Elephas maximus indicus: one gene and its partner. The protein of the gene in region 2 purifies or fractionates together with the protein of the main gene of each other region. This does not show direct contact. Links are inferred from orthologs where the notes say so. Each region holds a gene or a part of one and is shown on either strand. Other genes may lie near its edges. The genes, in order: GDI1 and RAB9A.

Region 1 (16,233 bases), about 160 Mb from region 2:
TGACGAACACTGTCACCTTTTACAGTGTCTTGGTTTGGCTCAATTCTCATATGGAATGAAGTGAAGGCCCAAACTCAGGATCCTACAGCCCAGCACCCAGCTTTTCCATAATAAAACTAAAGAACCAGGCTCAGGTTTCAACACAGGTTTATTGGGAGTTTTTCTGTGAAATACACTAGAGGTCGGGAAGGGGGCACATCCACTTTGCAAGGTTAGGGTTTCCCACCACTAAAGGAAAGGTGTAGACTGGAGCAGGGAACACTGTGGTTTGGATCCATTTTCCCACCTCCTGCTTTGCTCAAATTTCTTTTTTCTCTCAGCAAGAACCAGAGGACACGAACACAAAGGCAAAAACAAAAACAGCAAGATCAACCTCCGACCATGCTACGCCCAGGCCTTTTCCCTCTTCCCAGACTGCGCCAGGGATGGGAAGGGTCCAACTCAGATCACACAAAAGGCGGTCTGTGAGACAGGGCTCAGCACTCCCTTCTCATGTGCTCAGGCGGGACCGAGGTTAATAAATTAGAATAAGTTAGAGGGGGAATGCAACTTTGTACTGGGAGGGCCCCTTCTCTTCCAACACACGCAAGACTTGGTGGGGGGAGGCAGGGGATATCTCCAAAGGCCACTACCGGAGGAGAGTAAGGGCAGCGGGGATAGAAGTCGGTTTTTCCGCCACATTCTTCACAAACAGAGCAGAAGAATTAGGAGTGGGGGACGGAGACACACGAGGAAAGGAACCCTCTTTTTCCAGGATAAAGGAATGGCCAAGAAACAGAATGCTACCCAACCCCCATCTCCCAAACCACTGCTAAGGTTAAGGATTTGGTCAGTGAATCAATGAGGTGGGTGATGGGGACCAGGGTGGAGGAAGCAGAGGATAACAGAAACAGGAGGGCCCGGCCCCAGTCCAGTCGTCCCGGACTGAGGAGTGGGCTGGGGCGGGCAGGCAGGCAGTCAGCAATCACTGGTCAGCTTCACCAAAAACGTCATTCTGTTTGCGCTTCATATTCTCAAAGTCAAAGGCCGAGCCAACCATGCGTTTGTAGATGTCTTTGATGTCATTGCACGTTGTCTCAAAGTGGGTGGTGGCATCATAGGAGCAAGAACAGAACACCTGAAAACAGCCAACCAGGGGCCCAGGGTGAGATGGACAGAGGCCCTGGTGGGCAGCTGGGAGCCAAGGAGCCAGGACAGGTCTGCTTACCTGGCTCTCGGAGCCATCATCAGTGGGCTCGTACAAGTCACTGATGGCCACAAACCTGAGGGGCAGACGGGAGGGGAGAGGACAGGCCTCACAACGGGTCCCCCTTCCAGCCCCTCTCAAGAAAGCCCCTCGGTTCCCTTCATCCCCCTGGGGCTGAGCCTGGCCTCCAGACCCCCCCAGCTTCTCACTTCTGATCAATGGGCTCCAGCAGCTCCAGGGCTGGCTCTATCTCCTTCTCAGGCTCCGAGGTCTCCACTGTGGTGCTGGCGATAGCAATGTACTTGCCCTGTGCAGCCACGTTGTGCGCGTAGGAGATCATGCACACGTAGATGTCTGACCACAGTAAGTGCTCAGTGAACAAAAGCCAAAGGGTACACAGCCATGCATGCAGGGGGGTGCTGGTGGCCTACCCACTCCCTACAGCCCTGTGCAATGGGCAGCGCCCAAGCTGCTACCTTCATGGAGGAGAAGAGTCCAAGAGAAGCCATCCAAGCCCTGGGGCCCCATTTCTTCCACGGAAGGATTAGGCAGGGAGCCCCAAGTCTGATAGGGAGAGGCAGCACAACCCCAGAAGGAATGTATTAGAACAAGTCCCACCTTGGCTCTCTACCCACCTGACTTCCTGTTGACCTGGTTCTGGGGGATGATAATTTGGCAGGAGTTGGCGTCGTTGGTGTTCTTGATGGGGTGGCTCAGGACACAGATGATACGGATCACCTGGCCTGCCTTCCGTACTCGGTCGGGGATGTAGCTGGGGTCACAGATCAGCTGCTTGCAGCGGGCCACCTGTGAAGGCACAGGGAGGACTCGGTCCTGGGTCCTATCACTTCCCTAGATGGCCAGGGGGCAGGGCCCAAACCTACGGGTGGCAACTTCAGCAGGCAGAGGCCTCTCTGCCACTGCTTGCCCCTCCCGCAACACGCAGCCCTGCTCTGCACAGGGCTCTCAACCTGCTCAGGGTGACAGGGCCCAATACACCGGGCCAACCCCCTCTACTGAGACCCCGTGATTAAGGAAACTCTGGACCACCGACATGGTACGTGGGCTTTTAGAGACACCTCTCGGTAACAGGAATGGCTACACAGACTGCTTTTGCACCCCAAGTCCCTGGCACAGGGGTCCTCGGTGCTAAGTAGCAGCAGACACCCCAATCAGAATCACCAGGAACATGGAGCCCGTGAAACCAGGCCACACCGTACCCGGACCATTCTGCCTAAACTGCGCGGAGAAGGCAGAGTGGCTGTCCAGTGGAGCCCGCTTACCTCTCCCTCTGACTTCACACCCACCACCTTGCCATTCTCCATGATGATGTCATCCACAGGTTTGTTGAGCATATACGTCCCGCCATAGATGGCACTCAATCTGGGCGCGGGGGGGGGGGGGGGTGGGGGTGGTAGTGAAGTCTCCTTGCCAGGAGAAACAGGGACCTGGTACCACTGCCCCGCTCCCCCACCCGTCCCTGGGGTGCAGAGAAGGCTGCTCCAGGCTGGGCAGAACCCCGGAAACCCAGCTGCTTGTCCCAGCAGCTCTGCCACTGCCACAAACTCAGGGCTGAACTCACTGCACTCATTCCTCTCTGGCCCCAAATATTCTCCAGAGGACTACATATGAGGGTGCCATAAGGGCACAGCTCCACATGGAACCAAAAACCAAGGAAGCTCCAGAGAAGAGCCAGCTATTATTGCCTGAGCCATCAATAAAGACTCTGGGGCCTCACTACAACTAAGGTCCATCCCTAGTATTACCTCAGACATGAACTGTGAGCTGAGCAATCCAGATTACTGGAAAGCTGGCTCTTCGCCTCTACGATCAACCCACTGCTGCTGTGCCCCCTCCTTCCAAGTGTCACGGGAAGTAAATTCAGGTCACAGGAGTGAAAATAAAAACACCACAAACAACTTAAGGTGACCATTTTATTGTCTGTCCTTAGTTCTACTTGGTAATACCAATTGAAAAAAGCTATGTCCTCACCTTGCAAATCCCTGGGGCAGCTCGCCAAGGCCATAGAGAGGGTATAGATACGGGCTTTTCCCATACCGGGCCAGGGACTCGCTGTACAGCTTGATGCGGTTGATGGTCTCAAGACAGGGCTGGTCCAGGTAGCTGAGGAAGCAGAGAAAGATGCTCAAACAGCAGACCCCCTCCTGCCCGCCACCTCACCCCAACCCAGGCACTGAGCCGGCCTTCCCACCCCCTGGGGAAGAACCATGGGTCACATGCAGAACAACAGTCTGAGTGGGTAGCTGAGCACAGAGGGCATAGAAATCAGGTGTGTGAAGGGCAGTGTTCGAGGAAGGGGACCGCCCCATCCCAGCTTCCCCTCACTCATCAGTGCGATAGAGCGCCAGGGCGTGGCCAGTGAAGTCAATGACGTCCTGGCCCAAGTCAAACTTCCGGTAGACATCGCGCATGCTGGTAGTCTGGGGGTCAACCCCTTCAAAGGTCTTGGGGTCGTTCTCATCAAAGTTTGCCACAAAAACCAGGAACTTGCGGAAGCGCCGTTTCTCAAACATGCCCATCAAATCTGAAGAAAACGTTGTGAGGGGAATCCTGTTGCCACGAAATCATAAACCTCTTCTTCCCACCAGGTTAGAGCAAAAAACCAGGAGCCCAAGCTCCTAGCTGAAGACTGCCACTGACTAGGTTAATCCCGCTGCCTCTCTAGACCTCAGTTTATCCACCTATACAAAGAGGGGGCTGGGCTGCACAGGCTCTAAGGGCCCTTCCAGCTCCAAGGCTTGGGGATGCTTCACAGATCAAGTGGAAACCCTTTCAAAGGTTGAAGTCTTTCAACAGGAGGCCCCATCCACGCCCCTCCATGTCTGGACTTCTACCCTGGCAACAAGCCATGAGGCATGACAGGCGGCACACACGGAATAGAGCAAAGGGCCACTGGTACCGTACGAGAAATAGAAGCCTGGGTAAAGGGGCACCTTGGTCTGGACCTTTCCACCCGTATTAATAAGGGCAGTCTGCCTCCCCCACCTCCCAACTATTCTTTGGCCCAGGGAACTCACTAGAAGCCAAGGCTTCGGTCTCAGTGGATGGCACTTTGTAAATCTTGCCCCCCTTATAGACGAAGCTGCCCTCTACCACTTTAAAATCCAGGTAACGAGTCACCTCTGTGTACAGCAGCATCTTTACCAACTGTCCTGTAGGCAAAGGAGAACAGCAGTATCAGCATGGCCCCCTTCTTCTAACTGGCCTGACTACCCCTTCTCTGGAGCCTGACCTGCTTCTGGTCTTCCCGATCACCCCCCAATACCTTCTTCGTCCCCCTCACCATTGGCCATCAGGAATTTGGGGATCAGGTCAACATTCCAGTCTCGGCCCCGGCCCATCGACTCAGGAGGCCCCTCCAGGAGCTGGAAACGCTTATACAACTGCAAGCAGGACAGGAAGAGATACCTCAGGGCCATCCCCTCCCTCCCCAGCCCCCAGCCCTGCTGCCCAGAGAGAGAACCTGGGGAGCTGCTTCCAGCGCATGAGAAGGTTGATTAAAGGGATGGTAGGTTTCTATTTTTTAGGGGTGGGGCTGAATCTCACCTCCTCCAGGGGCGTGATGGAGGAGCTCTCCCCGCCATAGTATGGGTTCCGGTCCATGTGCAGCACCTTCTTCCCATTCACAGACATGATGCCAGACAAAATACATTCCTAAGGGGAGACGTGACAGTCCCTACATGACTCCCCACCCACACATTCGCAGTAGGAGCCCTGACTGTTCCCCACCCAGGAACTTGAGAAAAGAGCAAATCTAAACAAGGACCCTGTGCCTGTGGACAGCTCCTCCTCACCAGAGCTGGTCACCTAACCTGAAACCGCAGGCCAGAGCTTCACTAGGCTTCTCCTCTATACCCTGCTGAGCCAAGAGATGCACAAGAAAAGAAATAACAGCCGCTTGGAGGCAAAGACCGCTCCGAGCAGCCCACACGCCCAGAAAGCCCCCGTCGACGTAGGGGCCCTAGGGCCGCGGAAAAGGCGGCTAAGACACAATGAGTCCGAGGAGCGCTGCTAGAACTCTAGGCCCCAGGGCAGACCCGGCGGCGGCAATCCGCCCGCCCGCCCGCCCCGGACCGCGCCTCCTCCGAAGGTTCGGACGACCCTAAGCCTTCGCGGCCACATCTGCGGACGTTGTCCAGCTGGGTCGAGGCTACGGGGAAGAAGCCCTAGTCGGTGTCACCAACCCAAGGACAAAGGCTGCGGATCTGACTCAGCCCGCGGTCGCCATGGGGAACTGCGGTGGGGGAGCGGAATGTGCTCAACGGCCCCACTGCTGCTGCTTCTGGAACATTCACTGGGTCCCCCGGCCCCAGAAGCAGCTGGGGAGACGGGATGAGGGCCTACCCTAGCGAGACACCGTGAATCGAGATGGACACCTCATCCTTCATCGGATTAGCGCAGATAGGGGGCCGCTGTGCGGGCGATAGGGGGCCGGTGGGCGGGGTCGGAGCATCGGGGCGTCGCCCAAGCAGGGTGCGTTTCCCGGCCCAGCAGGCTGGATGAGAGGGTCGTGGAGGGGGGGAGAGGTCCGGGCCCGAGATCGCGGGGGGCGATTGGGAGGGGCACCCCGCTGAGACGGGGACGCGGCAGCGGGTAGAGGTGAGGTCGGGTGGGGATGGCAGCGGAGGCTGTTTTTTCGGGGGACAAGAAGCGCCGGGGGCATCCGGCGCTGGGGCTGAGGGGCTGAAGGGCTGAGGGTACGGGAGAGGACGGGAGGTCGGGCCGGCGTCGTTTGGGAAGTGCATCATCGCGGGGATAGGTGGTCGCGAAGTGGGGCCACGGGCCACCGATGCCGCGAGGGCGGACTCACGGTGAGGCCGGTCCCCAGCACGATCACATCATATTCCTCGTCCATGGTTCAGTCCTCGATGCCAGCGCCAGCTCCGGCTCCTCCTCCACCTCCTTCACCACAGCCGCCGCCGCAGCCGCCGCCGCCGCACTGGACCAAAGATGGCGGCACGACGCTCAGACGTCCGACGCCTCCGCCGCGTCAAAGAGTCCCGGCTCCTCCCCGCCCCCCGCCGCTCTCAGGCGCCGCGCAGCCTCAGCAGCACGCGTCCCAGTAGGGCGGCTGGGGCCCGGGCTCGAGCACCAGCGCAGCTCTCCCAGCTGCCTGTTTCTGCGGCTGCTGAAGAGTGGGGAGGGGCGGGCTGGGTGGTCGGCGCAGGAGGGGGCGGTCGGTTCTGCGGCCCCGCGAGGAATCCGTCCGCGGGAGCCGCGCGCGCCCCGCCCCGCCCCGCCCCGCCCCGCCCCCCGGGATGCTGGAGCGCGCGCAGCGGCCACGCACTGCTGCGGAGGGCCGGGGGCGGCGTGTTGGGACTGGCGGCGCGGGGCGGCCGACCGCGCCCTCCAGCCCTCCGGGCGGTCCTCCTCGGAAGCCCCGAGTATCTTTTATCATGGCGGCCTCTCCCCCCAGGAGCTGCACGTACCGTGACTCAGCACCGCCCCGACCCTCGTCGCCCCGGCACGGACCCCCATTCCTGCTGAACCGTTGAGGGCCTAGCTGGCAAAAGCCTCTCCCAGCTTCTGGAGGTGCTGCCAGCTGGACCCCCGCAAGGCCGCTGCACCCCTTGGCGGGCTCGGCTACATCCAGGCCCTTCCTCCCGCCTCTCTTCTGTCCGTGGAGAAATGAGGAACCAGAGGCCCAACGCATGGCAACCCGTTTTTATTTATCAGTAAAGAAAATAACTGAGTGCCCCAGGCTGCTGCCAGGCCCTCCTGGTGGGAAAATGCTAGAAATTCAGGGATCACACTGAACCCACCTGCCATGGAGGTCCCTTCCTTCTCAGACCACAAAAATAAATCCCACTGTACTGGGTGTTTTGTTTGGGTACTGCTGCTTTTTAGCACGACATCATCAAAAAAGATCAAACAACGACAGCTAAGCAGGACACACAGTTAAATACTACTTCTATACTCCCCAAACTCGGGGACTGTCAAGCTGCAGGCTGCTGCAGGAAGCCCTGTCAAGCTTGGGGAGGGGGCATGTGCCGCACACAAGCACTGTAAACAGTAAGCGGCGATGTTGGAGAGAGGAGAAAAAGGGGGAGAAGCAGTCCCTAGAATTAACGTTCCCTCTCCCTCACCTCGACTGAGCCTGGAAGATTTGTCTACTTACTACCTATGCAGAATGTACATACATCTTGTTGGGAGACACAGGGGGGCCCCCCAGGATGGAAAGGGAAGGGAGCCAGGGTGAGGGACCTTGGGGTTTCATGCTATGGCAGCCCTCCAGTCTGGCGTGACCAGAGGTGGAAAAGTGACGACCAGGACACTGCCACGCCCCTCGGCCCCCCAGCAGCGCAGGGTGGTCACACTATCTGGGTCAGAGAGATGGCAGGGCCCTTGTGGTCATCAAAGCGGTCCATAGTCTTGAGGCTGAGGATCATGTGCAGGCCATAGGTGAAGATGAAGAGCATGAAGAGGGAGGTGAGCAGCCCCATCCAGATGCCCGGGGAGAAGAAGCCGGCACAGTCGCTGGCGTAGGAGAAATGCTCGCCCGTCACATTGAAGGCCTGGATCTGGGGCCAGACAAGACACAATTGGTGGGACCTCATGGCCCCCTGCAGTGAGGATGTCCAGCAAGGGCTGAGATCCCCCAGGTGGTGGACATTCTGAGTCTCCCAGGGCCAGGGGCACTGTGGGAACAGGACTCTCAACTACAGGAGCCCAGATGAGGCCACTGAAGACTCTTGAGGCCTCTCTCCTCCCCCTACTCATACCGTAGCTCCCCTCGCCATACCTGGAAGTCCTGGAGCGTCATCTGCCAGAGAGAGGGTTGTATTTGGGGCACAAGGAGATTGCCATTCTTGGTGAGGCTGCTGACATACTGGCAGTGGAAGGAGTAGATGCTGGGCCCAGTGACCTGGGAGGCGTTAAAGTAGGTGACAGAGCCATTGCTGTGGATTTCAAGGCGCTCCATGGTAAACCAGTGCCGGGCAGACACTGGGTAGAAGCGGTTAGCCAAAATGAACCTAGGGGTGGGCAACACAAGTGGTCAGGCATGTGGGGGAAGCCAGAGCCACACCCAGCCTGCCCCACCTTGGCGGCCCCAGAACTCACTTGAATGTCACTCTGGTACCAAAGAGTTGCTCGTAGGTCAGTGTGAGTCTGTGGGGTCAGAGGAAAAGGCCGTGAGTGGCTTCAAGGACCGAGTTTCTCACGTCTACCCCTACTTAGCCTGCCCCCAGGTCTTCATGACAACTGAGGATGTAGTGCTCCCTCTTTACAGATGGGAAAACTGAGGCCCAGAGAGGAGAGTGTTTCCCCCAGTCACATTTCAACTCAGGAATGAGCTAGAAGCCAGGTCTTCCGGCTATAACTCAAGGCTCATTCCTCTGGTTCCTAGAGTCCACTGCCTCTTCTTTCAATTCCACGTGGGGTTGCAGTGATACATGGGTTGGGTTTTTGGGGGTGAGGGCAAATGGAGGAGTAGCAGTCTCCCTGGCCACACAGCAAGGGCACAGGAGCCCCACAGCTGGCTCAGGAAGCTGGCCTAGTATTTGCCCTATGTTCAGTCCAGGAGATTCCGCTCTAGGGGACGCACCAAGTTCCCAGGTGACCATGAGGCGTTAACGACAAAGGCCCCAACCAAGGCCCAGAAAGCATGATGGAGGCAGAACTCTGAGCAACTCCCCCTCCAACAGCCCCCACCCCATGATACTACCCACACCCCACAGTGACCACACCCTACAAGGCCATGCCATCCCCACGTCCGGCTGCCTCCCCGCCAGCGGCCCTGACCCACGGAGGCAGAACATCACCTCTATGGCCAAGCTCCTCCCCAGCCCGAATGTCCTCACCCAGCGGCAGAGTTGTTCCAGAACGAGCCAGTAAGGTTGAGTTCCTGGGCCCCAAAAGTGAGGGAGGTCAGGTCCTCCCACTGGTCCTTATAAGCCACAGAGAAGTTCTGGGCCCAGAGTAGGATTCGGGGGGCTGTGTCATTGTAGCTCACAGGGGGGTGAGGCACATCCGTCTCTGTCGTTTTTTCTAGCAGCTGTCGACCCAGACCCCCAGACACCATGGCTGCATCCCGGGCCACCTGTGGAGACAGCCAATGAGCCTTCTCACCACCACCCTGGACCCAAGCCCTAAACCAGCTGCCCTGCCCCCAGGAAGGCAATCCTCTTCACCACACCAACACCCACTGGCCAGACTCAGAGCCCTTCCTTCAAGAAGCCCTCCCCAGCCAGCCTGCACCCTGTATTATCTTCCTAATTCCTTAATCTCAGGAACCACTTTGACTAATTTTCACATACACCAACCCATGAGCTCACAGGGCAAGATTATCACCTGCTGCCTGGAGGGAGGAAGCTCAGGCCCTCCATACAGAGCCGCCCCATGTCAACGTCCTCAGCCCACAGCGGCCCTGCCTGTGGCCCGCCACCCCTCACCTCCCAAGGCACCCTGCGGGGAAGGGCACGTACCCTGGAAGGGCGGACTGCTGTGAGGGCTGCGGTGTACGGGACATCCTCGGACTTCAGTGTGCTCAGTACCTGCCCGATGACCTCGTCTAAGCAAATGGGGAGAGCAAAGAGCCGGGTCACGTGCTGATGACGCACAACTGGATCACCTGGTTGAGGTGGGGACTGCCAAATGTCCCCGTTGTGAAGCACCACCACCACAACTGGCTCGTCACCTGTGGTGTGGTGCTTTAACACCCTTGCCAGAGCCAGTTCCGCATCAACCTTTCACCAGATGTTTTTAGTAGCTGTTGATGAGCCCAGACTAACAGCAGCTGTTTCTCATCCCGCCCTCCATCCAGCCTCCCTTGGGCCCTGGGAGCCTTGATTATCGATTTCCTAATGACAAGGTGTAACAAAGAGAAATGAAAAAATACAAACAGACAGGGATATAAATATACAGACATATGGGCATGGATATAGAATATGATACGGATACAGATATAGAAATGCAGATATAAATATGTAGAGATATGACCATAGTTACAGACCCCGCCACATACATTCACGTAAGACTCCCAAGGAGGCCCTGGATGGTGCAAACAGTTAAGCGCCTGGCTGCTAACCAAAAGGTTGGCAGAGAGCCCACCCAGAGGCACCTTGGACAAAAGGCCTGATGGTCTTCTTCCAAAATATCAACCACTAAAAACCGTAACTGTCCTTCATGGCAAAAAGCCAACTCCCCCAAATTCTTGGATTTACTCTGGTGGAGGGAAGCAGACTTCTGACAAGACTCCAGCAGCATGAGGCCCTCACAGCCTGACATCCCGCTGAGCAGAAAGCAACTGTGGGGAACAGGCAGGGCCTCCTGGGAGTGAGGCAGAAGCTGAGGAGTTCTTGGGCATCTCTGGGGTCATGCCACCAGCTGTGTCACAGAAGTGGACAGGGACGGGGGGTCAGGTAAGGGTACAGGTCCCAATGCCACTCACCGTTGCCTGTGAGGACTTCCCTGGAACCCATCAGGCCAGAGCTATCAAAGAAATGGAACGTTAGTGCCCTTGTGTAGGCAGCCCTGGCCCTCAAGTCCCAAAAGCTCACCTCCTCATGTTCCCCTCTGCCCTGCACCTGTCCACCTCTCTAGCCTCCCACCACTTGGCAGCCTCCACTGAAGGCCCAGGCCTCAGAATACTGGTTCAGCGTACTACTCCACGCTCCCTGCTCACTGAGCCTGCACACTCCACCTAGGGGCTTTCTGAAACCTGCATGAAAGCCAGGTTCACTGCCTTCCACACACAATCCCCTCAACTCCTCTGGCCACACAGGCACGTTCCAAAAGGGTTTCAAGGTGCTTAACGAAAGGACTGTCTCCTTTGGTTGCACCATGCTACCAGAGCCCAGGGCCCAGGTTTCAGTGCTCTCCAGGCCCAGAGGCTCCACTGGCCTGGGGGCTGCAGGCTAAGGGCAGGACTGTACCTGGTCGTGTAGGGCAGCCGGATGAGTAGCAAGGCCGGGAGGCTGGCATTGAGCTTCAGCTCCCGCAGTGTGGCCAGGTCCACGTGCAGGGGGCTGGCCCCAAGTTTCTCCTGCAGGTAGGTGGTCAAGGTGCTGACAGCATACCAGTCAACTGCAGGGAGCACCAGCGAGGAGGGGGCCAGGGCCAGGGCATTCTGGGGGCAGGGGGATGGAAGGCAGAGTCAGTGGGGGACTAGTGGCTGCTCAATGTCACAAAATTCACCCCCAAGGCCTGTCCAGCAGCTCTCCTCTGGCAAAGCATGCCCACACGGGGGTCTGAAGCCCACCCTGCACCCCTGCCTGACACTCAGGCCCCAGGTCTTTGGACCTCACAGCAAATGTCTTATTCCCAAAGGCATAGTTTTTATGGTGCTGGGGTGGGGTGCGGGACACCGGGATGCCACACACAGGGCTCTTACCTCTAGGTTTGAAAAAGCGCTGTCCTGCTTGTTGCCAAACACCCCGCCATATGCGGTGAAATCCTCAATGCTCAGCTAGGAGGAAAGCAGGGGAAGACAGCCTCCTGAGCCTGGACGAGGTCAAGGGGCCAGGGCCTAGAGCGGGCCCAGCAAAGCCCTGTTTAGAGTAGGATTTGGTCTGGTACCAAGAACAGCAAGGCGTGGGGGAGGCTCCCTTCCTTCCCTCCAGCATGCTCAGGGCTCAGGCAGGGTGAGAAGACAGGAACGGTGGTCACAGGGCTGGGGCTGGGAGGAACCTGCGGCACTGCCAGCTGACTTGTGTTCATCCCAGTCAGTCAGCCACCCCTCACAGAGAGACAAGAGGAACTTGGTAGGGAACACGGAAGCTGGGGAGGGGGTGGGGAGGGGCAGCCAAGAACACAGCCTGAATGCCTCCTAGGGCTGATGGCAAAGACACAGGCTGCTATGGGGTGAGTGAGCCGCCCAGGTGCAGGCTGGAGTACTGAACTAGGACCCCTTCTAAAGGGGCCTGAGAATTCCCCTCTCCGCCTGTTTTTGAAGGGGGGAGAGAGACTGGATCTTGGAAGAGGCTGCCAGAAGCACTGGAGTCTTTCGCAGTCCTCAGCCCACAGGAACCCCAGCCCCAACCTTTTCCCTCCCCAACCTACAGATGTCCTTCAACTCCCAGCTCCACCCCAACCCAGCTCCAGCTTCCACTAGCTTTTCTCAGCTACCTTTTCTCAGTTCCACCTAAAGGCCAAGCAATATTAATCAGCTTCTCTAACTACACTATTTAGTATGCAAACTCGCCCAGCCTCCCCTCCCTCCGGGCAGGAAAGCTAACCCTCTTTAGGGTCCTAGGCTCTCCTTCCTAAAGCCAGGGGAAGCCAGGGTTCCTGAGAACAGGGAACCGGAACCACCACTGTGTCCCATGTGCTTCCTTTAATGAAGACATCAAGTCATTCCCGGTAGAAATCGCCGAAGGCTTCCCATCACACTTAGGATCACAATCAACCTTTTTCCATAGCCTACAAGGCCTATCTCATCTCCTGGGTACCTGACGTCTCGTACCCCGTTCTCACTCACTATACCCCAGCCACGCTGGCTCTTCCCTGAGTTCATCAAGAGCGCTCCCAGCCCTGAACATTTGCACCTACTGTTCCTTCTGCCTGGAATCCCCCTCCCTCACAACCACGTGGCTCCCTCTCTCAGTCAGTATTCCCTCCCAGAGGCCTTGGCTGCCCACCTTCAACGAGACAGCATCCCGAGTCACTAGGTCCTCTTAGCCAGCTTCCATCTTCTTTAAAGAATATAGCACTGATGCTATATTATACATCTACTTCACAATTACTGGTTGCCCCCACGAGAATGTCAGCTTGCTGATAGTAGAGGCTTGAGTTATTTTGCCCACTGCCTTGATAGCACAGTGGTTAAGCGCTTGGCTGCTCACCAGAATGGCGCCGGTTCGAACCCACCAGCTGCTTTATGGGAGAAAGATGTGGCAGTCTGCTCCTGTAAAGATTACAGCCTTGGAAACCCTATGCGGCAGTTCTACTCTGCTGGAAACCCTGGTGGCGTAGTGGTTAAGTGCTGTGGCTGCTAACCAAAGGGTCAGCAGTTCGAATCTACCAGGCACTCCTTGGAAACTCTGTGGGGCAGTTCTACCCTGTCCTATAGGGTCGCTATGAGTCGGAATCAACTCGACAGCGCTGGGTTTGGTTTTTGGTTTTATATCCTCAACACCTAACAACATCCAGTACATAGCAGGCCTTCCACCCTGGCAAATGAGCAAATGAATGAATGAGAGACCTCAGCTAGATGTTTTACAACGTTTCTAAGAATTACTCCTCACAATTCTTTAGTGCAAGTGGTGTCTTCATTTTACACATGCAGAAACTGGCATTCACAAAGATTATTTTGTTTGTCCAAAGGCTGGTAACTGGTAGAACTTGACTGGGTTCAAGTCTGACTGCATTATTTACCACCTCCTGCAAGAACTGGGCAAGCGTGACCACCACTATCTACCCATCAAGCAACAGCATGAGAACCAAAGAGGAAAGACTTACAAAGGCCACCAACAAGGACTGGTGAAGCTGAGGTTTGACAGCCTCCCAGACACCAATTCCAGGCTGCCCTAGACTCTTCTCATGGCTTAAATGCCTGCCTGGAGTCCAGGGAGGCGCAATGGAAGGGAAAACTGCATACTCATTACGAACACAAACTGGTAGGGTCCAACATTCTCAAGCTGGAACCAACCACGGTGTCTATAAACCATGAAATTTTAGCAATCACTGCCCCTCTACAAACCTTAGTTTCCTTGGCAGTGAAATCAAGATCATGATATCAACCTAGCACAGTGCACAGGAAGTACTCAATAAATAACCACTTTGTGATCAGCCCTATTATTACCATTTCAATTAGAATCACAACCCTGCCACTCATGAGCTGTGTGACCTTTGGCAAGCCACCTGCCCTCCTTGGGCATCAGTCTTTGCAGGTGTAAAACAGGACGATAATCCCCAGCACGGTGGGGGGAGGTCGGTCAGAACATGTACCTGAAGTGCTTGATACTGAGTAGGCATGTGGCCCCTTTCATTCCCAATCGAGGTAGTGCCCTTCGGCTACTCCCACCATTCCCACTAAAGCTTCTACTACAGGCCTTCCACGGAGACGCGGCACCCTGCTCCACAAGCTGGGACAAGGTCACGGAATCTTCCCTTAGAGAACGGGTATAAGTGTCGTGGGGGGAGGGAACCTGACCGACTACTAATGACGGAGGCCTGGGCGGCGCACCTTGTCCTGCAGGAACAGCAGCACATTCCGAGGGCCCAGCTCGAGGGCGGGGTCCAAGTAGGTAGACAACTGCAAGTCGCTGGTGACGTGACCCTCGTGAGTGTCGGCCGCAGGAGCCCACAGGTCCCTGTACGGAACAGAAGAGTGCCATCAAGCGGGGCGCCTGGCTTAAAAGCCGAAGCCCATGGATGCCCAGCTACCACGTCGTGGGTGGGACAGGGAGCTCGACCAGCAGAGCAGGAGCTCTGACCGCGACAGACTCGCCGCCGCTCCCCAGCAACGGAGAGTGGTTCTCTAGGCCTCGCCTCCCCCTGCCAAGGCCAGCCCCGGAGTCAGGCGAGCGCGGCCCGGCCACAGGCTCCGCCGCCCCTGGAGACGCCCCGGCCAGGCCCGCTCACCGGTCACTCGACCACAGCACCAGCGGCACCTGCTGCTCCGCCGCCACCGCCACTGCCGTCAATGCCAGTAACAGCGGCAGCCACCGAATCTGCCAGAACGCTGGGGCCCGCCGCGACCGCGCTCGCGCCCGCGCCCGCACACAAGCCGCCGCCGCCATTGTATCTTCGGCTTGTACTGTCTGGCTGCCGTCTGCCGTTACCGCCACTGCCACTGCCGCTGCCGCCGCCGCTGCTGCCGCCGTGATCAGGTGACCGCAGTCCCCGCCCGAGCTCCGCCGCGCGCCACCATTGGCCCGGGTGCAGGCATGCTCGCCAGACCCGAAGGTGATTGGACAGAGAGCATGCCATTCACGGCAGCTCCTCTTCAATGGTTGGTTGTAAGCGTCTCCAGGCGCGCACACTCCCAGTGGGAAAGAGGGCGCGGCCAAACTCAGCCAGTCCCGCTGTCCGCCGGCCGCCGCCGGCTGCAACCGGCACAGGATGACCCAGATGGTTTGGGGAGAGCGAGGCGGAGGTAGAAGGCGGGGGCAAATGGGAGCGGGGCGAGCGCCGCTTCACAGACTCCGGCGTGGTCGCGTTCTCCCTGTTGTTCTGATGTTGTTAGCTGCTTTGGGGTGGGTTCCAACTCCTACCGACCCTCTGTACAACAGAACGAAACACTGCTCGCTCCTGCGCTATCCTCACAATCGCTGCTGTTTAAGCCTGTTGTTGCAGCCGCTGTGTCAACCCACCTCATTGAGGGTCTTCCTCTTTTCCGCTGACCCTGTACTCTGCCAAGCATGATGTCCTTCTCCAGGGACTGATCCCTCCTGACAACATGTCCAAAGTATGTAAGATGCAGTCTCGCCATCCTTGCTTCTAAGGAGCATTCTTCAGTCTTCCTTATTCATTGGCCAGCTTTGTGTAGCTTTCGTATCGGGTAGTGCTGGCCTCAGTTTAAGCTAGGAAATGTTCCCTCCTTGTCTTAGGCTGAGCTCTCTAAAGGAGAAAAACCAGTGAAATGTATACACACACACGTATGTTGTTGTTAGGTGTCTTCGATTTGGTTCCAACTCCTAGTGACCCTATGTACAGCAGAACAAAACACTGCCCAGTCCAGCCCCATGCTCACAATCGTTGTTACCCTTGAGCCCATTGCTGCAGCCACTGTGTCAATCCATCTCATTTGAGGGTCTTCCTCTTTTCCACTAACCCTGTACTTTACCAAGCATGATGTCCTTCTCAAGAAACAGATCCCTCCTGATAACATGTCCAAAGGACATGAGACATAGTCTCCTCACCCTTGCTTCTAAGGAACATTCTGGCTGTACTTCTTCCGAAACAGATTTGTTAATTATTCTGGTAATCCATGGTATATATTCAATATTCTTTACCAACACCATAATTCAAACGCATCAATTCTTCATCAGTCTTCCTGATTCATTACCCACGTTTTGCATGCGTATGAGATGATTGAAAATACCATAGCTTAGATCAGGCTCACCTTAGTCCTCAAACTGACA
Region 2 (15,804 bases):
GTCGATGACAGGCAAAATGACGTGAGGGTGGAAAGAATGGAGAATGGGAAAAGAGAATATTGTTTTCCTCGGAATAATTTGGCACCTTTGTTCCCCATCTAGTATCTTAAGGAGGCCTGATAGCTCAGTGGTTAAGCTTCTGGCTGCTAACAGAAAGGTAGGTGGTTCAAACCTACCAGTGGCTCCGCGGAGAAAAGACCTGATGATCTGCTTCTGTAAAGATTAAACCAGAAACCAAACCCGTTGCCATCAAGTCGATTTCCAGCTCATAGCTACGCTGTAGGACAGAGCAGAACTGCCCCATAGGGTTTCCGAGGCTGTAATCTTTATGGAAGCAGACTGCCACATCTCTTTCCTGCAGAGCAGCTGATGGGTTCAAACCACTGACCTTTTATTAGCCAATGAGCGCTGAACCACTGTGCCACCAGGGCTTCTCCCAAAATATATATATTTGTAGATGAAACATATATGTATATAAAACATATATAAACACTATTTGCACTATTAAAGTTGTTTTTATTAAGCTCGTGTGCATTTTTTTGTTAAGTTGTGCCACTGCCACCACTAATCCCCAAGCATTTTCATTAGCCCAGAAAGAAAACCTGTACCTGCCAGCAGGCACTTGCCATTCCCTCCGTCAGCCCCTGGCAACCACTCATCTAATTTCTGTCACTATGAATTTGCCTATTCGGGAGATTTCACATAAATGGATTCATACAGTATGTGGCCTTTTGTGTCTGATTTCTTTCAGATGGTTTTTTTTTTTAACTCAAAAGTAGGCCATATCTTACTAACCAAAGGAACCCATGCTGACCTTTATTTAAAGTGCATCTTTAACTGAATTCACATGAATAATTTAACATTTACATGTCACAATTACAGTTCAAAGCTTTGTGTCAATAATTACTTTTGATTAACCCGTGCACAATTTGACATTTTGAATGCAAAAAACCCCCCAGCCTTATCTACAAGACATTCAAAGGTCATGTTTTTTTCTTTTAGAAAAAGGAAGGATGGATGTTTTCCCCTAGTTTCTTGATTTAGTTGGCAAAGAAGAGTTTAATTAATCAGATTTTTATCACCATAACCATTGTGTTGGGAGCCCTGGTGGTGCAATGGTTAAAGCACTTGGCTGCTAACCCGGAGGTAGGTGGTTTGAACCCAACCAGCTGCTCTGCAGGAGAAAGATGTGGCAGTCTGCTTCCCTAAAGATTTACAGCCTTAGAAACCCTATGGAGCAGTTCGACTCTGTCCTATAGGGCCACTGTGAGTCGAAATCGACTCCATGGCGACGGGTTTGGCTTTGTGTTGTTGTTAAAGTTAAGGAATTCTTAGCAGCAAGTTGGGTCAACTTCCCTTCCTTTGCATCTCCTCTCCTGTCTTGGTCACTTAGTTCTGCTGCAACAGAAATACCACAAATGGATGGCTTTAACAAAGAGAAGGTTATTCTCTCACAGTCTAGGAGGCTACAAGTCCAAATTCTGGGTGTCAGCTCCAGGGGAAGGCTTTCTCTCTCTGTTGGCTCTGGAGGAAGGTCTTTGTCATAAGAGCTGGTCCTCGCAGGAACCACTGGTCCTAAGGGTGTGCTCTGCTCCTGACGCTGCTTTCCTGGTGGTATGAAGTCCCCATGTCTCTCTGCTCCCTTCTGTCTCTTATATCTCAAAAGAGATTGGTTTAAAACACAATCTCATCTTGTAGATGGAGTCCTGCCTCATTAACATAACTGCCACTAATCCCATCTCATTAACATCATAGAGACAGGATTTACAACACATAGGAAAACTGGTCAGATGGCAAGATGGTGGACAATCACACAATACTGGGAATCATGGCCTAGCCAAATTGATACACGTAATTTTGAGGGACGCAATTCAATCCGTGACACCTCCCAAACAGACATATCCTCCGGCATAAAATTACTATGCAGTTGAATTGTTTGGCCCGTTGAAAGTAGCTCTTCCCTTACAGTTCCATAATATCACGTGCTGCTGGAGTCAGTTGCTGTCGAGTCGGCTCTGACTCATGGCAACCTCACTTACAACAGAATGAAAAGTTGCCAGGTATGTGTCATCTTCACAATCGTCGGGATGCTCGAAGTCCATTGTTGCGGCCACTGTGTATTTTTAGTGCCTTCCAACCAAGGGGACTCATCTTCCAGCACTATATCAGGCAATGCTCAGTTGTGATCCATCAGTTAATTTTCAGAAGTAGACTGCCATGCCTTTATTCCTAGTCTTTCTTAGTCTGGAAGCTTCATTGAAACCTTTCCACCGTGGGTGATCCTACCTATTTGAAATACCAGCGGCATAGCCTCCAGCATCACAGCAACACACATGCTACCACAGAACGACAGACTGACAGACAGGGGTAGGGGGATGGGAGTGCGGTAGATTATATCCATAGGCTAGGGAATTTCACACTTAGCCGAACCTATGAACTTTCTCTATTTTATCGCTGCCTTACGTTATTTGTGGGCACATTTGTTTCCTTTAATTGCCCATCAAGTCCCCTATGCAGTTCTTAGTTATGTTTATATCCCTAGAAGCCCCAAGGTGTAACTTGGGAAATGGAGGATGCTTAATACACTTTTGTAAAATAGATTTTTTTTAAGCTAGAGTGGAATTTCAATATGAGTTCATACATGTTTTTGTTCTGTATAGCTCATGCCACTATTTGCAAACCCTGCATCTAACTTTAATAAATGAGATCTGTACTTCTACAGTATCGTTAATGTTTCAAACCCAATCTCCTGAAAAAATCATTTATTCACAATCAATTCCTTGAACTCATGGAATTGGAAACTTACCAAATTAAATAAAACAAAGCCATAAGTCAGAAGAATTGTGCTAGATTGTATTACTGTTCAAAATACTTGATGATTCTCCCAGTGGGAGGGTTCTAGATCACTGCACCATGGAGGTAAAGCTTTACCACATGACTTGCAATGCCCTTCCCTTTAGGAGGATTATACCTACTAAGCGATTTGCCTTAAGTCTGGTGGCGTAATGGTTAAGAGCTACAACCAGAAGGTTGACAGTTCGAATCTACTAGGCACTCCTTGGAAACCCTATGGGTCAGTTCTACTCTGTCCTATGGGTTGTTATGAGTCAGAATCAACTCAGCGGCAAGGGGTTTTGGTTGTTTTTTTGCCTTGTCCAATGACGTACGGGTGGAAATGAATGTCACTTCTGGGTGGATGCTCTAAGAGCTAGGTGGGGTTTTATTTCGGTTTCTTTTCTCTTAAACAATGAGACTCACAATGTATCAGGCATAGGCTGCTCCATTAGCTCGGGTTCATCAGATGACATGAAACAGAACCACAGCTGACCCATAATGGATGTTACAGAGAGTGAGAAAGAAATCTTTGTTTTTGTAAGCCACTGAGATTTTCGTGTGTCATTTGTTACCATAGCATGGCTTAGCCTAAACTGACTGATAGAAAAGTGTTAAGAGAAATGTAATCCCATTTACCTGCATTTATATTATGAATCACAGTAAGCTTGGACTATATAATCTATAGGAAACATTCTAACCTTGTACCATTCAGGGTTTGTGGTTGCAGCTAAAGACATCAACTCCTTCTAACTTAGAAAAGGAATTTTTTTAGAGGCATTGAGAGGAATTTTTCTTAGAGGCAAGGCTGGAGTATTGAGTTGGGAAGTAGGCAGAAACCAAGGGAATCCAAGCTTGGTCTGATTAAGATGCTAGGTACTGGATACTGCCACTAGCATCCCCGTCTCTGGCACTATCCGTGGTCACTGGATACTAGAGGCCACCAGTAGTAGTGGTGCCAGAATGAACTGTGAGTGGTTCCAGCATCCCTGTGTTGCTTGCCCAAGACTCAGATCTTCAAAGAGAATATCTGACTGGCCAGGTTTGGTGCTCGTGTCTGTATCCTTGTTGCTTGGGTTCTGGAAGAGCAAGTAATTGGTCTTTGAGGCTAGATACTTAGTTGGTTCCCTAAATGCAAGAAGGGCCTTCAGATGACAAATAAAACCCATCCTTCTTTCTCCCCCACAAAGGCAAATATCCCTTACAAACTCTTAGAAGAAAACTTTAAAGCTCCTGATCTGTATTTCTTATTAAGTCATGCTTCCCTTTATGGGGTATAACACAAGGAGTGTAATATAAATGATTGCATTCTAATTGAAAATTTGTGATATGGATAGACATATTCTAGGTCACCACCGTCCAACAGAATTTTCTTTGATGAGGGAAATAGTCTATATCTACACTGTCCAATGAGGTAGCCACTAGCCACATGTGGCTGTTGAAATGAGGCTAATATAACTAAGGAACTGAATTTTGAATACTATTTAATTTTAATTGGTTTACATTTAAATAGTCACATGTGGCTAGTGGCTACCATATTGGACACACAGTTCTAGTCCCTTCAGGCGTTGTACCTAATTTTCACAACAAAGGGCTTCCCATCTTTTTGTTAGATTTACTCCTAAGTATAAGTTTGTTATTGAAATTGGTATCTTTTTAAAATGTATATTTTCTGTGTTTTGTTGGTTGTATAAATGGAATTCATTTTTGTTAATCATTTCTTATGTAGCTACCTTGTTAAACTCGTTTTTTTTTCTCAATTTGAAAGCAGTTACAGTTTTATTAACTGACCAGATTACAAAAATAATCACGGTAGACACCTTTAGTTCATCCTTCTAATAAGCCTGTTGATCTGGTCTTCCCTGTTGCCAGCATCTCCACCTTCTACAAAATGGGTGGTCTTTTTCTTCATTCCACCTCGTGGAGAAGATAATTTGAAGGGCCACAGGAAGTCGTTTGCTTCTTTGAAGCGTTTCCCAACAGTATAGATCTCATGAATCAGATCCTCCATGCAGATGATGCCATATTTACCAAGAGATCGTGCCATCAAAGTGTTATCCGTCAGGGCAATTCGCTTCTTATTGATCTCGCCATAACCATGCTTATAGGTCAGTTCATTCACTGACTTCAGGTTTGGGAATGCCCACGCAATATATGGTTCCACAGTTCTCAGCATGTTAATTGAAGCCTTGTTGAGCTTAACAGAAGTGCCATTGAAGATCTGGCGAAGGCGAAGAAGCTGCAACACCTTTCGAACCTTTGGGCTCACACCATTGATACCTCTGATCCTGATAACAAATGCCAACTTGGGTTCTGCAGGTACACAGAAGTTGCCAGCTTTTCTTGCCATCCTAGCCATTCGAATTTCAGTCCTGTACATCTGCCTATACTCCTTGTGATAGTGCTTAGCTTTTTCATAGATAAGCTTCCTCCTTGCCTTTCGAAGCATCTTTTGGGCAAACTTCTTTCTCAGGCGCTTGATCTTTAGTTCTGCGAAATTCCTTTGCTTTTTTTTAAGGGTTTCTGGCACATCAGGAACCTTCTTTTTCTTCTCTTCGACACCCTCCATGGTTCCAGCCGGAAAAAGAGCTGTTAAACTCTTTTAATGATTAGTTTTCTATAGAGTCATTGGGATTTTCTAATCATGTCTGTGTTTAATACAGTTTTGCTTTTCCCTTTGCGATCCTCAAACTTCTTCTTTTGTTTCCTCACTATGCTAGGACCTCCAGTGCAAAGTTGAATAGAGTGTTACTTGAGCGTAAGAACTGTGTGTTTTAGTCAACATATATTTTGAATTGTAGTAAATAGAAACCGACTTCAAGATTAATTTAACTTGAAAATTGAATTTATTAGAAGGCTAGCAGGATGTCTGTGAGGACCCCAAAATGATCCAATCATTTTTACTGTACCTGAATCTGGGGCTCACTTATTATGTGTCTCATTTTCAAAATTGTTCTAAAATTGTTATTTTATGTGTCAGAAACTTTCTCAAATATAACCTTCCTAGTGCTGAATGAAGAGACTACATTAGATTACCTGAAAATAACTCTCCTAATAGCCAGAGATTATTTAAATAATTGTGGGCCCAGCAAATCATAAAAGTGAGAGCCTTCTCTTAGAAAATAAACAGCCTAAATCTACCCACAAAATATATTGAGAGTTCACTAAGAACCCCTCTGGCCTCCAGGGGCCTGTATCTGGACCCATGTCCCAAACCTCATATATAAAGCATGAAATTCTGAAGAGCTTTTTTAATACCGCCTTTCCCCCTACTGCTTTATATTTAAATTTATATTTAAAGATGACACAAGCAGTATTTTAACAAGATTAAAGGAAAAAATTCAAAGCTTAATTTTAAAAACTTGTTGTCGTTGTTAGGTGCCGTCCAGTCGGTTCCGACTCATAACAACCCCATGCACAACAGAACAAAACGCTGCCCGGTCCTGCGCCCTCACAATAGTTGTTATGCTTGAGCCCATTGTTGCAGCCACTGTGTCAGTTCACCTCGTTGATGGTCTTCCTCTTTTCCACTGACCCTGTACTCTGCCAAGCATGATGTCCTTCTCCAGGGACTGATCCCTCCTGACAACATGTCCAAAGTATGTAAGATGCAGTCTCTCCATCCTTGCCTCTAAGGAGCATTCTGGCCGCACTTCTTCCAAGACAGATTTGTTTGTTCTTTTGGCAGTTCATGGTATATTCAATATTCTTCGCCAACACCACAATTCAAAGGCGTCACTTCTTCGGTCTTGGTCTTCCTTATTCACTGTCCAGCTTTTGCATGCATATGAAGTAATCGAAAATACATGGCTTGGGTCAGGCGCACCTTAGTCTTCAAGGTGACATCTTTGCTCTTCAACACTTTAAAGAGGTCCTTTGCAGCAGATTTGCCCAATGCAATGTGTCTTTTGATTTCTTGACTGCTGCATCCATGGCTGTTGACTGTGGATCCAAGTCAAATGAAATCCTTGACAACTTCAATCTTTTCTCCGTTTATGATGATGTTGCTTATTGGTCCAGTTGTGAGGATTTTTGTTTTCTTTATGCTGAAGTGTAATCCATACTGAAGGCTGTGGTCTTTGATCTTCATTAGTAAGTGCTTCAGGCCCTCTTCACTTTCAGCAAGCAAGGTTGTGTCATCTGCATTACGCAGGTTGTTAATGAGTCTTCCTCCACAATATCACAACTGTTTTTTATTTTTCATCTATTCTGTTATTCTTTGCCATTTGCACATTGGTTTATTGTAATCACAGCATCCTGTGATTGTGCTCACGGGATCCGCTTATTTCCACTTCTCTTAAACTTTTTACGAGAACAATGTTGTTTTGTACCCGCTCTGGTCGGAGCGCAAGAGGGAAGGTATGAGAGGCAGCCCACCCAGAGGAAAACCGATATCCAGCAAGGACAGCCGGTCAGGGGTGGGCGAGGGCGGTGCGGGCCCGCGACCTCGAGGCCCCGCCTCCCAGGCCCCGCCTCCTCCGGGCCCCGCCCCGGCCCGTCGCCATGTTGTTCCCTCCGAGCTGGCTGGGAGCAGCTGGAGCCGGAGCCCGAGCCGGCGACCCCGCCGCTGCCTCGTGCCCGCCCCTGCCAGGACCCTGTCTTTCCCCAGCACACCCGGACAGGCGGGCGCAGCGCTCCCGGCGAGTCCTCCGTGTGGTTGCCACGTGAGCTGGGTGCAGGACTCCCCTGGGGTCGGGCGGGGTCCGGGGTGCCCCAGCGCCCGGGTCTGAGTGGCGGCCCGCAGGCCAGAGCGCGGCCTGGGTCGGTGGGAACTGGGGCGGGCGCGCTGGCGGGAGGGGGGCGCGGGGCCAGCGCCTGTCACCGCCGGTCACCGTCCGGCCCCTGGAGGGGAGGGAGGGGGGGAGGGATCGGCTTGTTCTCCCCCCACCCTTACGGACTGACGCAGGAGGAAAGACGGGTTTACATACCCAGGGAGCGGGACACACACCTATGCACCCGGGGACGCGCAGAGACGCCCGCACGCACCAGGTGACACACACACCCAAACACTGGGGAAGAGAGACGGGCACACACACCCAGACTCCCGGGACACACGCGCAGCCGCCAGCCCACACCACAGCCTCCCGAGGGAAGAAAAGGCGCCCACCCTTCCCGCGCACGACGTGGCTCTGGTGACCTCTGACATTCTGCCTAGCCGAGAGTTCGCAAATGTTTTGTGACCCCTCAGGTGAGGCATGTAAATACCATTCCAAGGGCCAGCAGGCGCTTCGGGCCATTATCTGATTTAGACAGCAGCTCGGGTTTCAGAATGGTGTTCCTTTCTGTCTTCCAATTTAGTAAGTCAAAAGGCAAGTCGAGAATTCGAAGTGCTGACCAAATAGTTGGTGGAGGTATTCAGTTTGCTTTTTAGGGGGTTTTGTTTTTAAAGCAGTGACACATCCCGTGACCGCGGTTCTCTTGAGGAATAACTTTTCTGCTAGTTTCCCAGTTGGCACGTGACCCCAATCTTTTTATAGGATTTCAGCGTCCTGATAAAATGAATAGACAGAATCTGACTGCCTTTTTAAAACAAACAAAACAAAAAAAAACTGTCTTTCAGTTTCTGGCACCATTGTAATGGAAAATCCCTAAATTGCCTGTAATCTCAGCAGCGGTTCAGTGGAGCGAAACTGGAGAGAGGGAGGAAACCCAGAACGATTCAGTTAGGGACTTTTTAAGAAGCCCGTTTGGAGACTCTTTTAGAGGTGTATCTGAAGTTATTAATACGTACTTTCCTAGAACTCTCAGTATCTTGTTTAGATTCCCAAATCTAAGACAATGCTGTTTCACTCTGATACTTTCAGTATTGTTGTGTAGACATTAAATTCTTCTTGCTTATACTAAAAAGTTCCTGGTTTGGTGATTTATTTATTTTGGACAAAATTCTGTGATTTGGAGCTATTTTTGATTTATTATCTAGGTGATTAGAGTAGACTGGCAGAAACTAAATAGAACATTGTTGGCCTTATCTCCAAGCCAGGTTCTTGGACACTAGGGAAGTATGTAGTGCCATTTCCTCTTTTCCAACCACTTTCTTCTCTTTTCTTTCCTTTCCGTCTGTTTCAACCACCTTTTCTGTCCAGACTACAGTGCTCTAAAAAAAAAAAAAAACTCCCTTTGCTGTTGAGTGGATTCTGACTCAATAGCTACCTTATAGGACAGGGTAGAACTGCCCCATAGGGTTTCCTAGGCTGTAATCTTTACGGAAGCAGATCACCAGGTCTTTCTCCCGTGGATCCACTGGGTGGGTTCCAACTGCTGACCTTTGGTTTGCAGCCGACCGCTTAACCACTGTGCCACTATGGCTCTAAGGCCTGAAAATAAGTTCCTTTGGTTTCAGAAATTGTTTTCACTGCCCCTCATTTCTCACCACGCAGGTTCTGGGTGTTCTGGGTGTATAAGTCCTGAACATACATCTTTCATTGAATGCTCACAGCACGGCTGAGCTATTGGCCCCCTTTTACAGATGAGGAACTTGCTGGGGCTTAGGAAGGTTAGGTCTCTTTCTCAAGGTCACACACACAGTGAGGAGCAGAGCCAGGATTCAAGGCAAGCCTGTGTGATTTGAGGGCAGTGGTTCTCAACTGGGAGCGATTTTGGTACCTCCCCCCCCCCCCCACCCACACACACACAGAGAAGACATTTGGCAATATCTGGAGACAAGTTTGTCACACCTGGGGAGGAGTGCTAGTGGCATTTACTGGGTGGAGGCTGACGACGTTCAGGACAGCCCCCACAGCAAAGAATTTCTGGCCCAAAGTGTCACTGGTGCCGAGGCAGAGAAATCCTGCTTTAGAGCAGTCTGCGGAACGCCAGGACTCACTTGTCTCCTCCGCTTGCAGTGTTGTTTTCTTGTTTAGGATACCTTCTCAGCGTTTCAAGAAAAAGCAGGGTAAAATTTGAGAACCTAAAAGAGACTTCTCTTGATTGAGAGGCATATTCATTCATTTAAAAGACTAAGTAAATAGTTTTTGAGGACAGAATTCAGTATTTATTTTTAGGCGAAAATGTCAAAAAGAACTTGAGAGCTAGCTATGTGGGAGCCATCCTAGTGGACTGAGCGAGTTTAGTTCCGGCATTACTCCAGGCATTATTCCAGCCGTCAACAAACATTTTTCTGAGCGGCCTGTCAGGCCCACAGAGGTGCTGGTGATTTGAAGAGCTATCGAGAGCCTTGTCTTCCTGCAGCTTACAGTCTACTAACAATCCTGGGGGTCCTAGACAGGGTCAGGCATTCATTACAGAACAAAACCAGAAGCAAAACAGCTCCCCACGTGGCAGGAAGTACCTGCATCGTTGTTTTCTGTGAGCACACTTAGATGAAATGAGGGGAAAGCTGCTGTGTTCTTTATAGCTCTGTTCAGTTAAGCGCATGTGAACACTTAAAAGAATCAAACTGAGAAGCCATTCTCATTGAGAATAAAATTCTGCCTTAAATTTAGCTGCAGCAGACAAGGGCATGTGGTTTGTCATTGAAATCAAGAACTAAGTGAGGAGATAAAAAAATGACGTTGGCATCATCTTTTTCTTTCTGGCGTTTTCCAGCCTACTTTTGCCATGCCTGGCTATGCACAGGCCTTTCAAACTATGTACTTTCATTCTGGTGGCAAATGTGAATGTAACTATTAGATGAGCTTGGGGAGTGATTAATTGAGAGAAGAAGAAGAGTTGGGTCTCTTTTTCGGAGTCACTGTGAAGTTACGCAGTCATTGAAGCATCTTTTTGTGGGTAGCTTTGCTTTTTGACTCGGCTTTTTTTTAATGGACAGGCTACTGCTCTAATGAAAGCTTTCTCTGCACTTACAGGAGTTGTCTGCTGTGGGGTGGGGGGGATGCTAAAGTATATGCCTGAAATGGTTGCTGTCCCATGGGGTCTAACAAAGCCCTGTATGTTCTTTCCTCACTGGAGTTTTATCCTGGAAGGGCTTAGAGGAATTGGGGTGGGGAAGAACTCACTGGCTTGGGTGGAGTCTTGCTCTGTCATTAGTTGGCTTGCTGCTCTGGCCAAGTTAGGTCACCAGATTTCTTTCTTCGTAAAATGAGATGCTTGTACTTTATGATCTCTGTGAGATTATATGATACCCAGTACAGACAGCACATTATTAGGTTCCATGTTGTTCTGCCCCAGGCAAATTGTTGGCTAAGCAGCAGGAGGAAATAAACCAAATAGAAGTGTGCATATGTGTTGAGGCAACATATCTAACTTGAGAGCTATCTCAGTAATAAATTGGCTTGTCAAAACCAAGGGTTTGTGACTAAGTAGACCATCAACAGAGGACATTTATTAACGTTTTTGTTTTTTTTTGGTCTTGGTAGTACTCACAAAATGCCACAGGGAGTTTGATCGAAAACTGTGACACAAATGAAAGTTCCAGATACCTGAGGAGGGAGGCTGTGAGTGATGTGGAGTGATCCAGGTGTGTGGAAGAGGGGAAGCCTGGCTGCCTGGTGATGAGGGGCTGGTGAGGCCCGAGGCAGCCCCAGCTGGCCCTGGCTGGGGAGACTGGAGGTTCAAGTTGATGACTCGGCTGGCTAGTTGGGTAACTTGGAGGAGAAATCACTGTTTCCCAATGTGACTCTTGATACTATAAATGTGTGAAGTTGTGTTCAGGTATTTCCACATTCTGGATTTTTCCATTATGTACTTTTTATGAATTGTTGACCGTGGCAAGTACAGGGTTTAGAACGATGTTTCTGATCATGAACATAGAGAGGCTGGCTATACTCACCAAAAAACCAACAAACAAACCTGTTGCTGTCTAGTAGAGTCAATTCTGATTCGCAGTGACCCCATAGGACAGAGTGGAACTGCCCCATAGGGTTTCCAAGGAGTTACTGGTGGATTTGAACTGCTGACCTTTTGGCTAGCAGCCAAGCTCTTAATCACTACGCTGCCAGGACTCCGGCTAGATGTCAATGAATATAAATAAATAAGGTAAGAGCTAGATCAGCGAGGGTGGAGGGAGATGGGCCTGTGTTTGGGAAACAATACAGAAGTGAATTCAGTAGGGGTTGAGGCTTCGCGTCCTGGCCCGCCCTGAACCCAGCTCCTTTCATGGAGGGCTGTCTGTGGACAGAGTGCACCTTTGTCTTCTGCCTGATGTTCTACAAATGCGTGCTGTTGTTTGTCAGCAGCGGAGAACCAGTATAGAACGACTGCACACATTCATTTCATTGCCATGTTCATTAGCCAGGTGTGAAGAACAGCTGGACGGTGTTAAAGAGCTGAACTAATTTATCATTATTCCGTGTTGTTCTGAATTGGATTAGGATTTTTTTATAGAGAAGCTAAAAGGTAGTTAGTGGAAACCCCGGTGGCATAGTGGTTAAGAGCTACAGCTGCTAACCAAAAGGTCGGCAGTTCGAATTTACCAGGTGCTCCTTGGAAACTCTGTGGGGTAGTTCTGCTCTGTCCTATAGGGTCCCTATGAGTTGGAATTGACTCGACGGCAGTGGGTTTTTTTGGTAAGGTAGTTAGTTACCAGAAGATTAGTTCTCAGAAGGGTGGCTGTGTTATCAGTGTTAGAGAAGCCTGAAAAATTCTTAAACAGAATTCTGTTTCTAGAACTTGCTATGAAGAACTCTAACCAATAAAAAAAATAGGAGTGTTTAAATGAGTCTAACAGGTTCAAAAAGTTAGAAATCTTATTAGTCTGTGCAGTTTGACACTGTGTATTTGATCAGAGCAGGGAGTAGGTGAGCACTTCTGAAAAAACATATGTCTTTGAGTTGGACGTCTGAATGGAATAACAACACTGAGGACCAAAAGAAAACCAAACCTGTTGCCATCAAGTTGATTCTGACTCATAGCAACCCTATAAGACAGCAGAACTGCCCATAGGGTTTCCAAGGCTGTAATCTTTAAGGAAGCGGACTGCCATATCTTTCTCCTGCGGAGCCGCTGGTAGGTTCAAACTAGTGACCTCTCAGTTAGCAGCTGAGCACTTAACCACTGTGCCACCAGGGCTCCTTAAGTAGCTCTGAGTTTCCCTCAGAAATTCAACATATGCTGCCCTGCCCCAGTGAATTTGTGGTGTTGCCTTGGGGCACCTCCACACACAGTTTGGAAACCGCAGGATTAGAAACTTGGTGGTTTGGGTTATAGCATAAACGAATAAGGCATCAAAGTTGTTTTTTTAACCCCCCACCTCCACTCCGTGTTGATATTTGTAGCATTTTCCCTTGGGCCCTTCATTCCCCCCAGATAATCTTAACAGTTTGGGATGCTAACATTTGGGGGGCTAAGCTGCAGGGTGGGCAACAGGTGGGGAACCACAATTCAAGTTTAGTTTGCAGACCCTATCCCCCGTTTTTCGGAGTGTTTTAGCCACATTTTCTGCAGTACAAATGTCTCTAGGAAGTAGACCTTCTGCTGAGGTGGAGAAAGCCTAGGGGGTGAGGAGGTGGTCATGGGGTTGCCAGCCTTGCAGACACCTCACCCTGCCATGAGAAGTGCCAGGGCTTGTCCTCCAGGGCCTGTGCCTGTTCAGTTCTGCACCGGAGTTGGCTTTCTCAGCCTTGGCTGCCTCTCCCTGCTTCAGGTTTCCTATCTTCTGTCACTGCTGGACCGTTTGCATCCCATCTGCTCAATTTTGTACATGACCCTGATCTACAATTGTTTTCTTTTTGTCCTTTTGGGTCTGTATGTTTTCGAGTCCTTTTCTGTCACTTGGGGGGTAGTGAAGATAACACATGTGATCTGGCCTGTTTAATCAGACCTGGGAAGTTATTTGTTTTTTGTGAACTTCCGTTTATTGATCTATAAAACGTGGGTGATAGTGTCCAACTTGCTGGAAATTTTAAGGTGTTATATGCCAGGAAGGGAGCCCTGGTGCATGGCGGTTAATTTGCTCCACTACTAACTAAAAGGTCGGTGGTTCAAACCCACCAGCTGCTCAGTGGGAGAAAGCTGTGGCAGTCTGCTTTCTGTAAAAATTAAAGCCTTGGAAACCCTATGGGGCAGTTCTACTCTGTCCTACAGGGCTACTGTGAGTCGGAATTAACTTGATGGCAACAGGTTTTTTTGTTTTTTCAACAAGTTTTTTTTGTTTGTTTTGTGGTATGTACCAGGTACATAGTAGATATTCACTAAATCATCGTAATTAATGTTCATAGTACTTGTTATTTGAGCAAACCAGACACTGGCCATAGGGAGGGAGGGAAGTGGACACATTTCTTGCAAGGATGAATGAAGTGGGTAAGACAGAAGAAGAAAGATGTTTGGAAATGGGGAAAATGATGAGGTTCATTTTAGATATGTTGAATTTGAACTGCCATCACCAGATGAACATACTGTAGAAGGGGTTGGAAATTGTTGTCTGGTCCCAGGGAGGGGGGTTAGTGGGAGGGGAGGTGGGAGAGGAAGGGACGAACCTAAAGTCTGGGAATCCCTGGCTTTTATGTCCCAGAAAGATACCATCTGGAAAGAGGTAGGGGCTTCAGCCTTGGGAAATACCTTCATTAAGAGCTTGTTAGAAAAGGGAGCCATCTGGGTTGAAGAAAGTTAAGGGAGGGAGGGGGAGAGAAAGGGGAGCCTGTTGTCAGAGTAGTTTGTATGGATGATTAAGTAGGAAACATTTTCAAAGTCAGCGCCAGGCTGTTTAGACATAAAACACTGTGTTAATGTGCAGTGGTCCTGTTCTGGTCCAGACCAGAAAATCCCATCTTTGCCTCTAGCTAGATGTGTGATACTATGCAGGACATTTTACCAGGTGGGCCTTCATTTCCTTATTTGTCTTTTTTAACAAAGACTTAATACCCTTCCAAGATTTTGTGTCATGTACGTCCAGGCAAATGACTACACCTGAAAGAATTCACTGTCAACTACAGGGGCTGCAGGTGGGAGACTGCTCAAACATGAGGGTGTTTTCTAGAAATGTACACAATGTTGCTCTAAGAGAAACTCTTTGTTCACTTTAGTTTCAGTTACATGCAGTAAACAACCTTATGAAAAGCTCCCTGCAGAGCTCTGAGGTTCCTGCTCCTTCCCAGCCAGTGGCAGCTTCCCTGCAGACTGGTATGTGGGAGCCTCTGACCTAGATCTCACCTAGATGCTGGATATATAGCTGCTGGTTGCCCTCTTTAAATGTATCTTGGGCAATCCCCAGCCCCTGCCTTTTACTTAACTTTTCTCGCAGTCAAGAAGTTCTACTTGCTGTGGTTTCATTCCTTGTGGGAATGTTTGCTATCCAACCCTTGCCCTGAATTTACATAGAAGTTCTCCAGCTACTTACGCTTGCCTGCTCTGAGTTAGCGACATCTGGATTCTTATCTAACTTGAAGCGCAGAATAAGACCCAGTTTTTCCTTAAGTTCCAACATTATTTTGCAGACCGTCTTTAGTTTGTGTTTTGCTGCTTCAGTATCTTTTTCTTTCTTTTTTATTGTGCTTTAGGTGAAAGTTTACAGCTCAAGTTAATTTCTCATACAAAAATTTATATGCATATTGTTATGTGACCCTAGTTGCTAGCCCTATAATGTGACAGCACCCTCCCTCTTTCTACCTCCGGTTTTTCAAGTCCATTCAACCAGCTCCTGTCGCTTTCTGCCTTCTCATCTCACCTCCAGACAGGACACTCCTCACCAGTAGTATTTTATGTTTTATTGTCTGGTCTAATCTTTGTCTAAAGAGTTGGCTTCGGGAATGGTTTCAGAATTCATTTTTCTTCCTGAAATAACCAGCCACAATCCCCAGTATTTCTATCTTGTGACCTTTATCCTTTTGTTTGCATTTTGATTTTGTCCTCAAGTACACCCTTAAACCAGCTTCACTCCTTTCTTTATTGTCAGGAAGCATTTTAAGTGCCTTTTACGGGTAAGTGCTTTATTACAGGTAGATATATGCTTGGTCCTTAAACATTAAACAAAACTAAGGACAAAATGTTGTCCTCACTGTAGGATTAGCAGCTTCCCATGAGTAAGGCTGTTGTTCACTGGACTCTTATAGTTTATGGTCAAAGGGTAATAATATCAAT

The links.
Region 1: the proteins of RAB9A (region 2) and GDI1 purify together in Homo sapiens (affinity purification with mass spectrometry; 3 studies listed by BioGRID and IntAct, counting the BioPlex papers as one, with this or other methods). This does not show direct contact. The link is inferred for Elephas maximus indicus from reciprocal best matches to the Homo sapiens genes RAB9A and GDI1.

Annotation. Positions count from the first base shown.
Region 1 is NC_064846.1:2,003,226-2,019,458, forward strand, and holds GDI1 (rab GDP dissociation inhibitor alpha), read right to left. Parts: upstream 6,175-16,233; 5' UTR 6,063-6,174; coding exon 6,018-6,062; intron 4,862-6,017; coding exon 4,754-4,861; intron 4,591-4,753; coding exon 4,491-4,590; intron 4,360-4,490; coding exon 4,225-4,359; intron 3,732-4,224; coding exon 3,533-3,731; intron 3,311-3,532; coding exon 3,179-3,310; intron 2,570-3,178; coding exon 2,470-2,569; intron 1,994-2,469; coding exon 1,822-1,993; intron 1,541-1,821; coding exon 1,396-1,540; intron 1,263-1,395; coding exon 1,208-1,262; intron 1,118-1,207; coding exon 965-1,117; 3' UTR 131-964; downstream 1-130. Other genes in the region: ATP6AP1 (V-type proton ATPase subunit S1), read right to left, coding at 7,519-7,728, 7,950-8,181, 8,270-8,317, 9,010-9,248, 9,634-9,719, 10,599-10,639, 11,083-11,276, 11,541-11,615 and 2 more. UniProt on the Homo sapiens protein: Regulates the GDP/GTP exchange reaction of most Rab proteins by inhibiting the dissociation of GDP from them, and the subsequent binding of GTP to them. Promotes the dissociation of GDP-bound Rab proteins from the membrane and inhibits their activation.
Region 2 is NC_064846.1:165,951,745-165,967,548, reverse strand, and holds the start of RAB9A (ras-related protein Rab-9A), read left to right. Parts: upstream 1-7,325; 5' UTR 7,326-7,496; intron 7,497-7,738; exon of another isoform or gene 7,739-8,020; intron 8,021-15,804. Other genes in the region: 60S ribosomal protein L7-like, read right to left, coding at 4,655-5,401. UniProt on the Homo sapiens protein: The small GTPases Rab are key regulators of intracellular membrane trafficking, from the formation of transport vesicles to their fusion with membranes.